Linked DNA regions of Coturnix japonica. The protein of the gene in region 2 interacts with the protein of the main gene of each other region in a pairwise test. Links are inferred from orthologs where the notes say so. Each region holds a gene or a part of one and is shown on either strand. Other genes may lie near its edges.

Region 1 (5,169 bases), on a different chromosome or scaffold from region 2:
GAGTGTTAAAATGGCTATATGAGGGAAGTCCTTCATGATGACGATCCAGGGAGTCACAAACTTACGAGCTCCCCAGTAACAAAGCAGAAGAAGCTAATTCTGGTATGTCCAAGTAGGTGACAAACAAAAGTTTATTGCCTGATTTCATTGAAAGAGCTGTACATTTCAAAAAGGGAGAGAGACATTAACAGAGGAACAGCAGTATTAATTCAACTACAGATTGAATCTGAACTACTGACTGTATAAAACCTTTATAAAAATCAAAGGACAGAACAGTCTTACAGCTGTTAGAAAGCCCTCCTTATTGCCACTTGTAGTGTAACTCACACTGCATTAAAAAACACTTTTATTTGCACAAACCATCCTTATTTATTTGCACACAGTGAAAAATTGCATATTTCTGAAATAGTCAAAGAGTCTGGAATGCTCGTGTTTCCAAGCTGGTCTTTATCTTAAAGTCTTCTATTTCTGAAAAATAAATTGGTCAATGAATTCATTCTGATCCGCTTCAATTTTACACAGACTCTCATATTCTATTCGATATCTGAAAGACAAAGAAAATAGGTTACCAGCTGATATTTTAGTGCAGTGCTCACCAGTCTGAGAGCGAAGCTCAGGGCTTCGTGTGTGTCCTTTTTAAGGCAACAGTCACATGAATTAGACTTGACAGTTCTAAAAAGCCTTTAGAAGTCACCTGCCTGCCACTCTTACTGTTTTATTAATTTCCACAGTTGTATGATCTCACATCACCTCTATCCGGATAGCCACAAAGCCATTAGAAATGATCCTTCTCAGTACGTGGCTGTTTCTCTCACATCTACACAGCTTTCTTTCCCAACTATTACGTCCATGCCCCAAAAACACTTAATAGGAAGCTCACCTTTCCAGCTGCATCTTTTTCTCAGCTATTAAAGCCCGCAGCTGCTGTTCCTGTGCTTCCCTTTGCTTTGCTATAGACTTCAGCAGATTCCGTGCACCGATGGCCTGTCAAAACAGACGTTTGTGATGGATCTGTACAAGGAGTTTTAACCCCTTTCACTACCAGCAGGTCGCGATGAAAGTCTTTCAGCCGTGCTAAGAGCAAAGGGGGCATCGTCCTGCTGGATGGGCTGTGGAGCAAACACAGTCCCTGTAGGGGCTGGGCGGGTTGAGGCATCTGAGGCTTCCTTCCAACCTGGGATATTCCTAACAGTGTGAAATAAACTGACCCCCTGGTGGCTGCTACCAACAGGAGGCTCAGGAGTTTCTCCCACAGAACAAACAAGGGAAAAGTAATCACAGCTGTGCTGAAAATTCATCTCCAACCCCATAATAAAGTGAGAAGATAAAGAGCGCTTGGTGACGTGTATTAGTGCACGTTTCTGAGGTAGTTACAGAGGTTTTTACTGCGTGAATCGTTGGACAGCCCTGTCCTCAGAGCCCACCATGAGCTGCGTCCTGCCAGGAGGTGTGACTACAAGGACAGCCCCAACGGACCGTACCTTCATCTTCTCGCTCTCGACAGCTCTGGCCAACTGGTCCATGAGCTCGATCAGGCCGCCCACCGTGCTCTGGAATTGCGCTATTTCTGAAAGAAAAACGGTCCCGCGTTCGTGGCTGTCAGCGCTGCGCGGAGTGAAGCGGCGCCCCCCGCCCCGCCCCGCACTCACTGTCCACGAAGGCCTTGCACTCCTCGCGGAGCTGCGCCGTTTGCTGCGCCACGTCGGGGTCGAGGACGCGCAGCTTGTTGAGCTCGTCGAAGTGCAGCCCCGCCGCGCCCAGCGCCTCCTGCGCCATCCCGGCACCGCTCGGATACACGGAGCCACAGGAAGCGCTGCAGGGTGCGGCGCAGCGCGCAGGAAGTGACGGGCTGCAGCGGGGGGGACGGCGGCCACGGGCGGTGAGCGGACTGTAGGGCCGGGCGGTGAGCGGACTGTAGGGCCGGGCGGTTCGGTGACGTGGGGCCGCGCGGGCGGGGCTGCGGACGCGGAACTTCGGTGTGGCCGCCGCGTTCGGGCCGGGGACGTTGCGGAGGCCACGGACGCGCCGCCCGACGGCCCCGCGACACCCGGTCGGCGCTGCCCGGACAGGCCGGAGCGGCCCGCGCAGCCGGTACGGGGCAGGGGAAGAGCGGGGCGGGGCGGAGCGCGTGTCCGGGCCCCGCCGGTTCAGCTCGGGGCGCAGTTGTCGCTTTGTCCTGTTGCTTTCTCTGCTTTGTGCGTCTTTTTTCCTTTGTCTCTTCTCGTTTTCTCCCCTCGCGCCGTTAGTCCCGCTCCTTTTCGTGGCCGTGCTGAACAGGGGCCGCTTCCTGACGGCGGTGCCGTTGTTGTGCTGCGCTCCGGCCGGAAGGGAAACGGGGCAACATTTATGCGTGTGTTAATGTGGGTAATTAAAGGTTCAGTCTGTGTTTATCGCAGGAGCCTCCTACGTGATCGATGATCAGGGACCTCAGTGACGTTTTGTCTCCCCGGACACGCTGTGCAGCGGGTTCTCATTTTGCTTTTTGGTTGTTTTTTTGCTTCGTCCTTCTTGGTCAGAAACGTAGCGACGTGCCGGAGGTGCGGCAACTACAGAAACCTTCACTAGTGCACGTGTTCAGAGATGCCGCTGCTGAGACTGGAAAGCTTCGTGCACACCCAGAGCTCGTTACGGACTCTGGCTGTCCTTAAAAACACGCTTTTATTTTGGAGGAAGGGCTCCTGTGGTCTGAAGCAGGATGGGACACCGAGGGCAAACCTGCAGCCCTGAGCCATGGTGCTGTTTTCTCTGGAGGTTGTAGGTGTAGGACAGTGCGCTGCTGCTGCTGCTTCTGGTTTACTTCGGTGTATGACAATATAACCTAGAGTTGACAAAAAGTAACTTTGTTGCTGGCAACATGGATTTCTCTGGAGCTGCTTTATTTGTGCAATTAACTTCTTACAGAACACAACTGTAATAAGCAGCTGCTAGTTGCTGTTGCTGGGTTACTGGTGGGGAATTGCTCCTCTGAGCAATATTGTGCTGGCTTTTAACTGAGACAAATACTCCAAAGACCAGACATTTTTTAGGCGTACCCATCCTGAAACAATAATAATAGAAACTACATGACATCGACTGTTGGTTTTTCTAGGAGTGAAGGGGGGAAAAGAAGTAGAATAAAAGGAGTTTCGAGGAAATAGAATGTAATGTTCCAGCACTGCAGTATCAAGTCGTTTGAAGAAGTTGGAGCTGCTATAAGAATATCACGTTAAAATATTTTTTATGTAATCGCCAGATGAAAGAATTGGACAAAGCTCTTCCATTTGTTTCCCTCCTGCAGGCAGAAAAGTTATTTCGGGAAGTTGAACGGGATCTGAATCCCATCTAGCACTTAACCTTGGGCTGCAGTGTTGTGTGTTGATTGTAATGCTGGCTGAAGACTGAATAACAGGAAGCCCAGAGGAGTTCAGCTTGCCTCACTAACAGTAATGAAGTCGTAATATGACTGTGATGTTAAACAGCTTCTGTATTGCTGTGTAAGTTGTTTGAAAATACACCTGCATTTTGTTTTGTCAGCACATTTGTAGGTGTGTCCTTAAGAATGTACTGAATTTGTCTCTTCGTTGTGGGCTTCATGGCTTTGTTTCTTTGTGTAAATTCTAGGCTTCTGTGTTGATCTTAAACATTTCCATTCCAAGAGTCTGGTGGCTATGACCATTTTTGCCTTCCCATCTTCGCCCAGTGACTCGTGACTCGTTGCCAATCACGGCGGAATCCATCAAACCCACACTCTGCAGGGTCGTCATCTACCTACAGAAGGAGATGTCGGGGGACACGTGTCTAACCACCACCCTGTGTCCAGCTGTGGGCCCCAAGCCTAAAACCTGCAGCTTCAAAGTCGGCAGCCTCGGTAACAAGTACGTGCGACTAAATGTCGGGGGCTCCTTGTATTACACTACAGTGCAAGTCCTGACCAGGCATGACACGATGTTGAAGGCCATGTTCAGTGGCAGAATGGAAGTTCTCACAGATAAGGAAGGTAAGTAAATGTCTTTTGTTGTTGAGAATCTTGTAAAACAACTATTGGAGTATTTTTTTGTTTGTTTTTAATGCATATTAAAGCTATGCTCAATGAAGGGTGTGGAGAAAGCTGTATTCCAAAAGGAGCCAGGAACATCAGGCTGCCAGATCCCATTGGCTCTACCTGTGCTTTATATAAATTGTCCTTTTGTTATTAAAATTAACAAGCAGAAGGGCTGGTTCTCTTTCCTGCAGTCACAGGTGGTAGGCAGATCGTTGATGTTTTTATGAAGACTGGACAGTATGTGGGCTGTCATATCTACAGTGCATTAATCAAAATGTCTTTAGGGAGGGGAGAGTCAGTTTTCAGCTTTAAAACTCAACACAGCCTTGATTGCTGTGTTGAAGATTTTCAGATAGGCTGAATCTTGTTGAGTGTCACGTAAGGCTGAATCTGTTTGGCCCAGCAGTTCTGTGTAAGAGCCCCAATCTACCAGAATGGAGGATGAGATTTGTCTTCAGGCAGCTTTAGCTGGAGAATCTGGCAGTGGTTTAACCCTCTTTCCTATGTTACCTTATATGTCTAGATCCTAAAATATAAAGAACTTTGGGTTTTTTTTTTTGGTTTTTTTTTTTTTTTGGTCTGCCTTCCACTTCATGAACAATGATTGGGCACTTTATTAAGCCCTCTGTCTGTGTGTGTCCTTTGCTATTGTTTGCCAGCAAGTCAGACATCCTGTTTCCCAGTGAATGTGACTGCAGGGAAGTTTCAGCATCACAAAAACTGTCTACTGCTGTTTCCTGTGCTGGATCCCCCCGTTCCTCGTCTTCCTGATCCATCCTTGTCCTGTTCCTTCCTCCTGTTTGGATACTGGAGCAGCATTTTTCCCTCACTGGATTTGTCAATTAAATAGATGTGCACTGGTGACTTCCTGTAGTAATTAGAAAGGTTTATGCCTTTAATTGGAACAAAATACAAAAAGGATGAAGCACAGAAAATAACTTTGGTACAATGGCTGATCAATAGATACGGTGCAGTCAAGTTCTTGCTGCAGTTTTTTAAATGTCAAGTGATAGGAAGCTCATGGCTTCTCTTCTGAGGTGCTGGAAAGTAGTGAGAATACAGACAAGGTGCCAAGGGAGAGGTTCCGCTGTTAGTTTCTGTTCTGTAACAAATACCAATTTGTTGAAAGTCAGTGAAGTCTTCCCCTG
Region 2 (5,209 bases):
CTATTTCCATGTGCTCTCCTTTGGGGTGGCACAGCACCAGGGATGGTGTGTGATGTCAGGCTGTACAAAGCTGAAGTGGAATAATCCTGGTGATCTGAATGCTTTAACTGACTTGGGTGCTGCTGAGCCCTGCTAACAGTGGTGTTATGAGCACAGTTCACTTCGGCCCCACCAGCATCCTGGGGTGGGGAGGAGCCTTCTCAGTGCACAGCTATTTTTCTGAAGGGAGTGGGAATGAAATTCCTCCCAAGATTCTGCTTAAGCCTGAAGTGTGGCTTTGGGCTACGCTGCCTGAGTGCACAGCAGTCATGCACTAGGAATGCATCTCGTACAGCTTGTGAAGCATAAAATGTACATAATGTTAGCATGGAGATCAGGAGAAATCACCTGTTTGCACATGACTGGACAACAGGCTGCTGAGATAAGGCCTTGTGCCTGCTCTGCTCTGTGCTGCTCTGCCCAGTGGGGAGAAGGACAGAGCTTCCCAAAGGTGGACATCTTCCACCTGAGATGCTCATTGAGCAGCAGTGCGATAACTTCACATTGGGCTCATGGGCAGGAGTGGGATGTGCAGCTGCAACAAGGGGTTGCCAGGGTCCCTGGATGAAGGCTGGGCTGGGTGGGGGGGGTTGTGCTGACCGATAGGTTTACGGTTCCTGAGAACATCCAGGTTTGTCCGCTGCTCTCTGATGTAGGGTGGGTACATGGCTCCGTCAGGCTGAGGGCAGCACAGGCTGCACAAGGGCTGCAGTGAAATGGAGAAAGGCATAACACAAAATTACCTTCTATTCCTTCAAACAGCCTATACATCAGCCTATAGCTGTACCACACATCCCAGCCCCGACTATCAGTCTGTAAGATCTCATGCAGCCTCATCAGCAGCTGCAGGAGCTCTCCTGCTTTCTGCTGCCCTTTGTTCCTCCAGCTGTTTGTAGGGCCTTTCTCTGGGGGGGACCAGGGAATAAAGCAAAAGAGCAACATCCCAGACACTTATTTTTAACTCTTTGACTTGGAGGCTCCAAGCAAGGAGGCTTTGGTGCTCTCCAAGTGAGCTCTGCTTTGGATTCAGCACATTCCTCACCTCTCCAAGAACACAACTTGCAACAGATTCTGGCTTTGTGTAAGAAAGAACATCTCCAAGTGGCCCCAGGCTGCGATGGGGACACTGCTGTGTTGGGGGGACCTGGGGAAACACCATTGTCCAGGCTGGCTCCATTCCAGCTGAGGTTTGCAATGATCATCACTGATGGGGAGGGCAGTTCGGCAGAGCGGTGCCTCTTTCAGAAGCACCTTTAGTTTAAAGAGCTTTAAGGTGCTCGCTAACCTCAGCCTTAGCAGAGCCCCTGCTCTGCCAATGGTTCATTTCATCCCACCCAAACTCCCGAGGCAGGAGGCGCAGGGACGGACACAGTAAGAACCTACATTAAATCCATGTTCCACCTTCACTCTCCTGCTGGCCGGCCCCGAGCTCGGACAGTTCTTCCCACTGCGGCGCGATGCATCTGTACGAGGACAGACGGGAGGAGCCGTATTGAGCCCTGTGAGCGCTGCCCACGGCCCCATTTATTTCCCCACATCCCCCATATTTTACCCATGTTTCCTCTTCTGCCCGGATCCGGTCACTAGTTTGGATGCAGCAGCCCCGGCCTTTCGGTGCTGCCCGTTCGCTCCGGTTCCCGCGCACAGCCCCCGCTTTGTGTCCAGGCCGCTGTCAGGCCTTCGGGGCTTCGCTGTGCCCCCCAGCCTCCAAGTTTCGCTCTATTTATCGCTATACCCATAACGCATCGCCCCGCTCCCGGCCCATTTACCCCCGTTACCCCCCCGGCCCCGCCCCTCCCTCCGTTCAGGCGGCACAAAGCTTCCCGCGAAAGTGACGTCACCGCGCGCGCCGCCTCCTCCCGCTCCCGAACCCGCGCCCGCGCGCGCCCCCATCCAGCTCCTCCCGCCCTCCTTTCCCACGTGACCCCGCTTCGCGCCGCTCTCCCATTGGCCGCTCCGGCGTCGTCGTGAGATCGACGCGCGCATTTCCCGCCCCGCCATTGGTCGCTGTGTGTGTGTGGCGCTGGGAGGTGGCGCGCCGCCCCGCCCCCCCCCGGTGTGCGCCTGGCGGCGGCGCGTGGCAGCGGCTCCCGCGCGCGGCTCCGAGTTGGCGCGGCCCGGCCATGACGGACTTCAAGCTGGGCATCGTGCGGCTCGGCCGCGTGGCCGGGAAGGTGCGGGGGGATGGGATGGGGATGGGAGACGGGGGGACGCGGCGGGAGGACGGACGGACCGAGGGGGGGGCGCGGCCGGGAGCGTCGGGCCGGGCTCGGCCGCACGGAGCTGGGCCGGGCGGAGCGCGGGGCGGCGGCTGAGCGCGGTGCTGTGTTACAGACCAAGTACACGCTGATCGACGAGCAGGACATCCCGCTGGTGGAGAGCTTCTCCTTCGAGGTGAGCCCCGCGCCGCCCCGGGAACCGACCCCGAGGGATCCGCTCCCCGCCCCAGCATCCGCCCCGGCCCCGCAGCCCCCGACCCGCCGGGCAGCCCCGCAGCCCCGACCCGCCGCTCCGTCCCCGCCGCCCGTTCCCGTCCCAGCGCTGCCGGCCCGTTTCCCGGCGCTCCCCCTGTCGGAGTGGGAAAGTTGCGAGGTTCCCTCCGCACGTGGGAGCGGATCCGTCCCGCCCCGAGCTCTGCTGGTGCCGCCCGCGCCCCCGGGGCTGGGAAGGCCGAGCGCTGCCGGGCTGTGCTGAGCGCTGTGCTGAGCGCTGTGCTGAGCGCTGTGCTGAGCGCTGTGCTGAGCGCTGTGCTGAGCTCCGAGCTGTGCTGAGCGCCGCCGCGTTTCCTCCGCGCGGCCATAGTGACAATAGTGAGGCCCCACGTGCGGCGCTGCGTCCGGCCAGGAGAGGGGGGGAGCTGTGGGGGGGTCCAGCACCTCCATCGTGGGGCGGGGGGAGAGGAGATCCGGGTCTGATCTGGGGGGAAATCCTTTCCTCAGAGGGCGGTGAGGCCCCGCAGCGCTGCCCAGAGCGGTGGGTGCCCGTCCTGAGGTGCTCAAAGCTGTGGATGGGCCCTGGGCAGCCTGAGCTGGGGGGGTTTGGGGTCCATGTCAGCACAACCATCCCATGGAGCCGTAGCAGTAGAGGTTCGTTCTTGCTGGAGATCTGAAACAAGCACAATTCCACGGCAATTCAGTGTCCTGTGGACACGTGGGAGGTGCTGCCTGTCCCTACCGCTGTCCCACTGCAGCTCACTCTCTGCTGCTCAGCACCAGTTGATCTCACGCTCTTCCCCTTCTCTCCAGGCTCGCATGGAGGTGGATGCTGATGGAAATGGTGCTAAAATATTTGCTTACGCTTTTGACAAAAACCGTGGAAGGGGATCCGGCCGCCTGCTGCACGAGCTGCTCTGGTGGGTATCACAATAGGGCCCGGGGCTGTTACTGCACACAGCATTTGGGGCCTCATTCAGAGCCCAGAGCAGTGCTGCAATGCCCTGGCCTGGCTCTGTTTTGCACCGTGCCCTGAGATAGCTGATGCTCCAATAATGTTATTTCTAGGGAGGGTGGTTACAGGTGAGTATTGTGTTGCTTCAATCTGGGAAATGCGACTGAATCTTCACTTGGGGCTTCTTCTGTCCTGAGATGAGCAGGTAGGTGAGAAGTGACAGACTGTGGATAGAGCAGCTGATAGCCCACAACTTAGGGGACTTTGCTCGTCTTTCTGGATCCTGAAGGGTGCTGCTGCTTCCTACACTGCTGTGTCTGCTCCCCTTGTGGCAGGGAGCTTTGCCTGAAGTTCTTTGTAGCTGCCATTAGGACTCAGAGCCCAGCAACTGGTTGTCAGAGGCACTTTGTAAATGTGTTCTTCATGGGTTTATAGGAAAGCTGGGCTATGTTGAAGAGAACCATTATTTATTTTTAAAAGCCTTTTCTGAAGAATTAAACATGCTTTCTGTTCAGTCCCATAAACTGTAATGAAAGAGCACCCAAGATCTCCCTGTACTTTCTTCATTGCTTGAGGTTACTTGTTCTCCCCCAGCTCAGTCCCTGGATGAGAGAGGCAGGAAAAACGCCAGGCACAATTACTCTTATTTTAAATCTGCTCATTAAATATGGATTTTAACCTGCTCTGTTATTGTTTAATCTGACAGTACACAACTTTGGAAATGAGTCAGAATTTGGCTGCACTGTGTGGTGTGAGTGGGGCTGTCAGCCCCTGCTCACTGTGCAGCTCACAGCAGAGCCTGCAGTGCTTGCCTTGCTCCAGCGTGTGCAGGGCTTTGCGTACAGCTCAGTCATTGCCTCTCTCATTAGCTGGACTTCTGTTAGGAAACAGCTGTAACATGCTCAGTTGGGTAACTCAAATCGTGTGACTTCACCATAGTGAAGCTGGTGTCAAACCCCCGAGGTTCTGAGTGATGGGGATTTTTGGAGGCGAGCTGTGAGCTGCCCTGCAAGCCAACCTGCAGGTCTGGAGATACAGTCAGGTTCTTTGGGAAGCACTGAGCATTTCAGCTGTTCTCTAAAGTTGGTTTGGTCCCTCTGAAGGCGTCTGTTTTGCTGTGGTCTTTAATTACACGCTACCACGAGGCAGCTCGGTGCGCTTTGCTGCCTGAGCCTCCTTGTATCTCTGAGAAGCCTCTTGGCTGCAGGTGCTGCGTAGTGCTGACCCTCCTATCAGCACGCTGTGCTGCTCTCCTTGTGCTGCAGCTGTTCTGAAAACAAACCTGCAGTGTGTTGAGCTGAAGGACCATCCCCCGCATGAGCTCTGGGACAGCAGACAGGGCTGCAGGGGCCCCGTGAGGGAGATGGGTGGCAGCACCCATCACAGCTGCATTTCCTGCATGAAGGAGAAGCAGAGAGCTTGAGTTACTGCATGTAGCGGAGTGCAGGTGTTCCACCTGTCCTGTGCATCCCCTTCCTCAGAATCTCACTCTAAAGGGACAAACCTGATGCTCCATCAGCCCCTTTCAGCAGACTCTTTTCCATGCTTCTTCTTGGTTTCTTCCCTAAATCCAGGCTGGCGTGAGTTAATATGCAGCTGTTCCTACTTTGGGTTCAAGCAAGTTGCAGTAGTTTCTCTTAGTCAATATGCAGGCATTGCAGGCTGTCTGTTATTCACAATTAGTCAAAAATATTCGCCTGTTTGGTGGTGAAAGCCCTGTCCTGTTGCTTAAGAGACGTACTCAGTAAATGAAAAACTGACTCACGCCAGTGCCAAACTTGAA

The links.
Region 1: the proteins of ZMYND19 (region 2) and TNFAIP1 interact in binary tests that used the Homo sapiens proteins (3 or more experiments, as listed by UniProt). The two-hybrid records come from large-scale screens. The link is inferred for Coturnix japonica from reciprocal best matches to the Homo sapiens genes ZMYND19 and TNFAIP1.

Annotation. Positions count from the first base shown.
Region 1 is NC_029534.1:8,043,658-8,048,826, forward strand, and holds the start of TNFAIP1 (BTB/POZ domain-containing adapter for CUL3-mediated RhoA degradation protein 2), read left to right. Parts: upstream 1-1,776; 5' UTR 1,777-1,879; exon of another isoform or gene 1,880-2,091; intron 2,092-2,114; exon of another isoform or gene 2,115-3,277; 5' UTR 3,278-3,473; intron 3,474-3,600; 5' UTR 3,601-3,759; coding exon 3,760-3,976; intron 3,977-5,169. Other genes in the region: IFT20 (intraflagellar transport protein 20 homolog), read right to left, coding at 463-544, 881-984, 1,482-1,567, 1,650-1,776. UniProt on the Homo sapiens protein: Substrate-specific adapter of a BCR (BTB-CUL3-RBX1) E3 ubiquitin-protein ligase complex involved in regulation of cytoskeleton structure.
Region 2 is NC_029532.1:877,110-882,318, forward strand, and holds the start of ZMYND19 (zinc finger MYND domain-containing protein 19), read left to right. Parts: upstream 1-2,073; 5' UTR 2,074-2,162; coding exon 2,163-2,213; intron 2,214-2,373; coding exon 2,374-2,433; intron 2,434-3,284; coding exon 3,285-3,391; intron 3,392-5,209. Other genes in the region: protein STPG3, read right to left, coding at 640-745, 1,423-1,502, 1,592-1,595. UniProt on the Homo sapiens protein: May be involved as a regulatory molecule in GPR24/MCH-R1 signaling.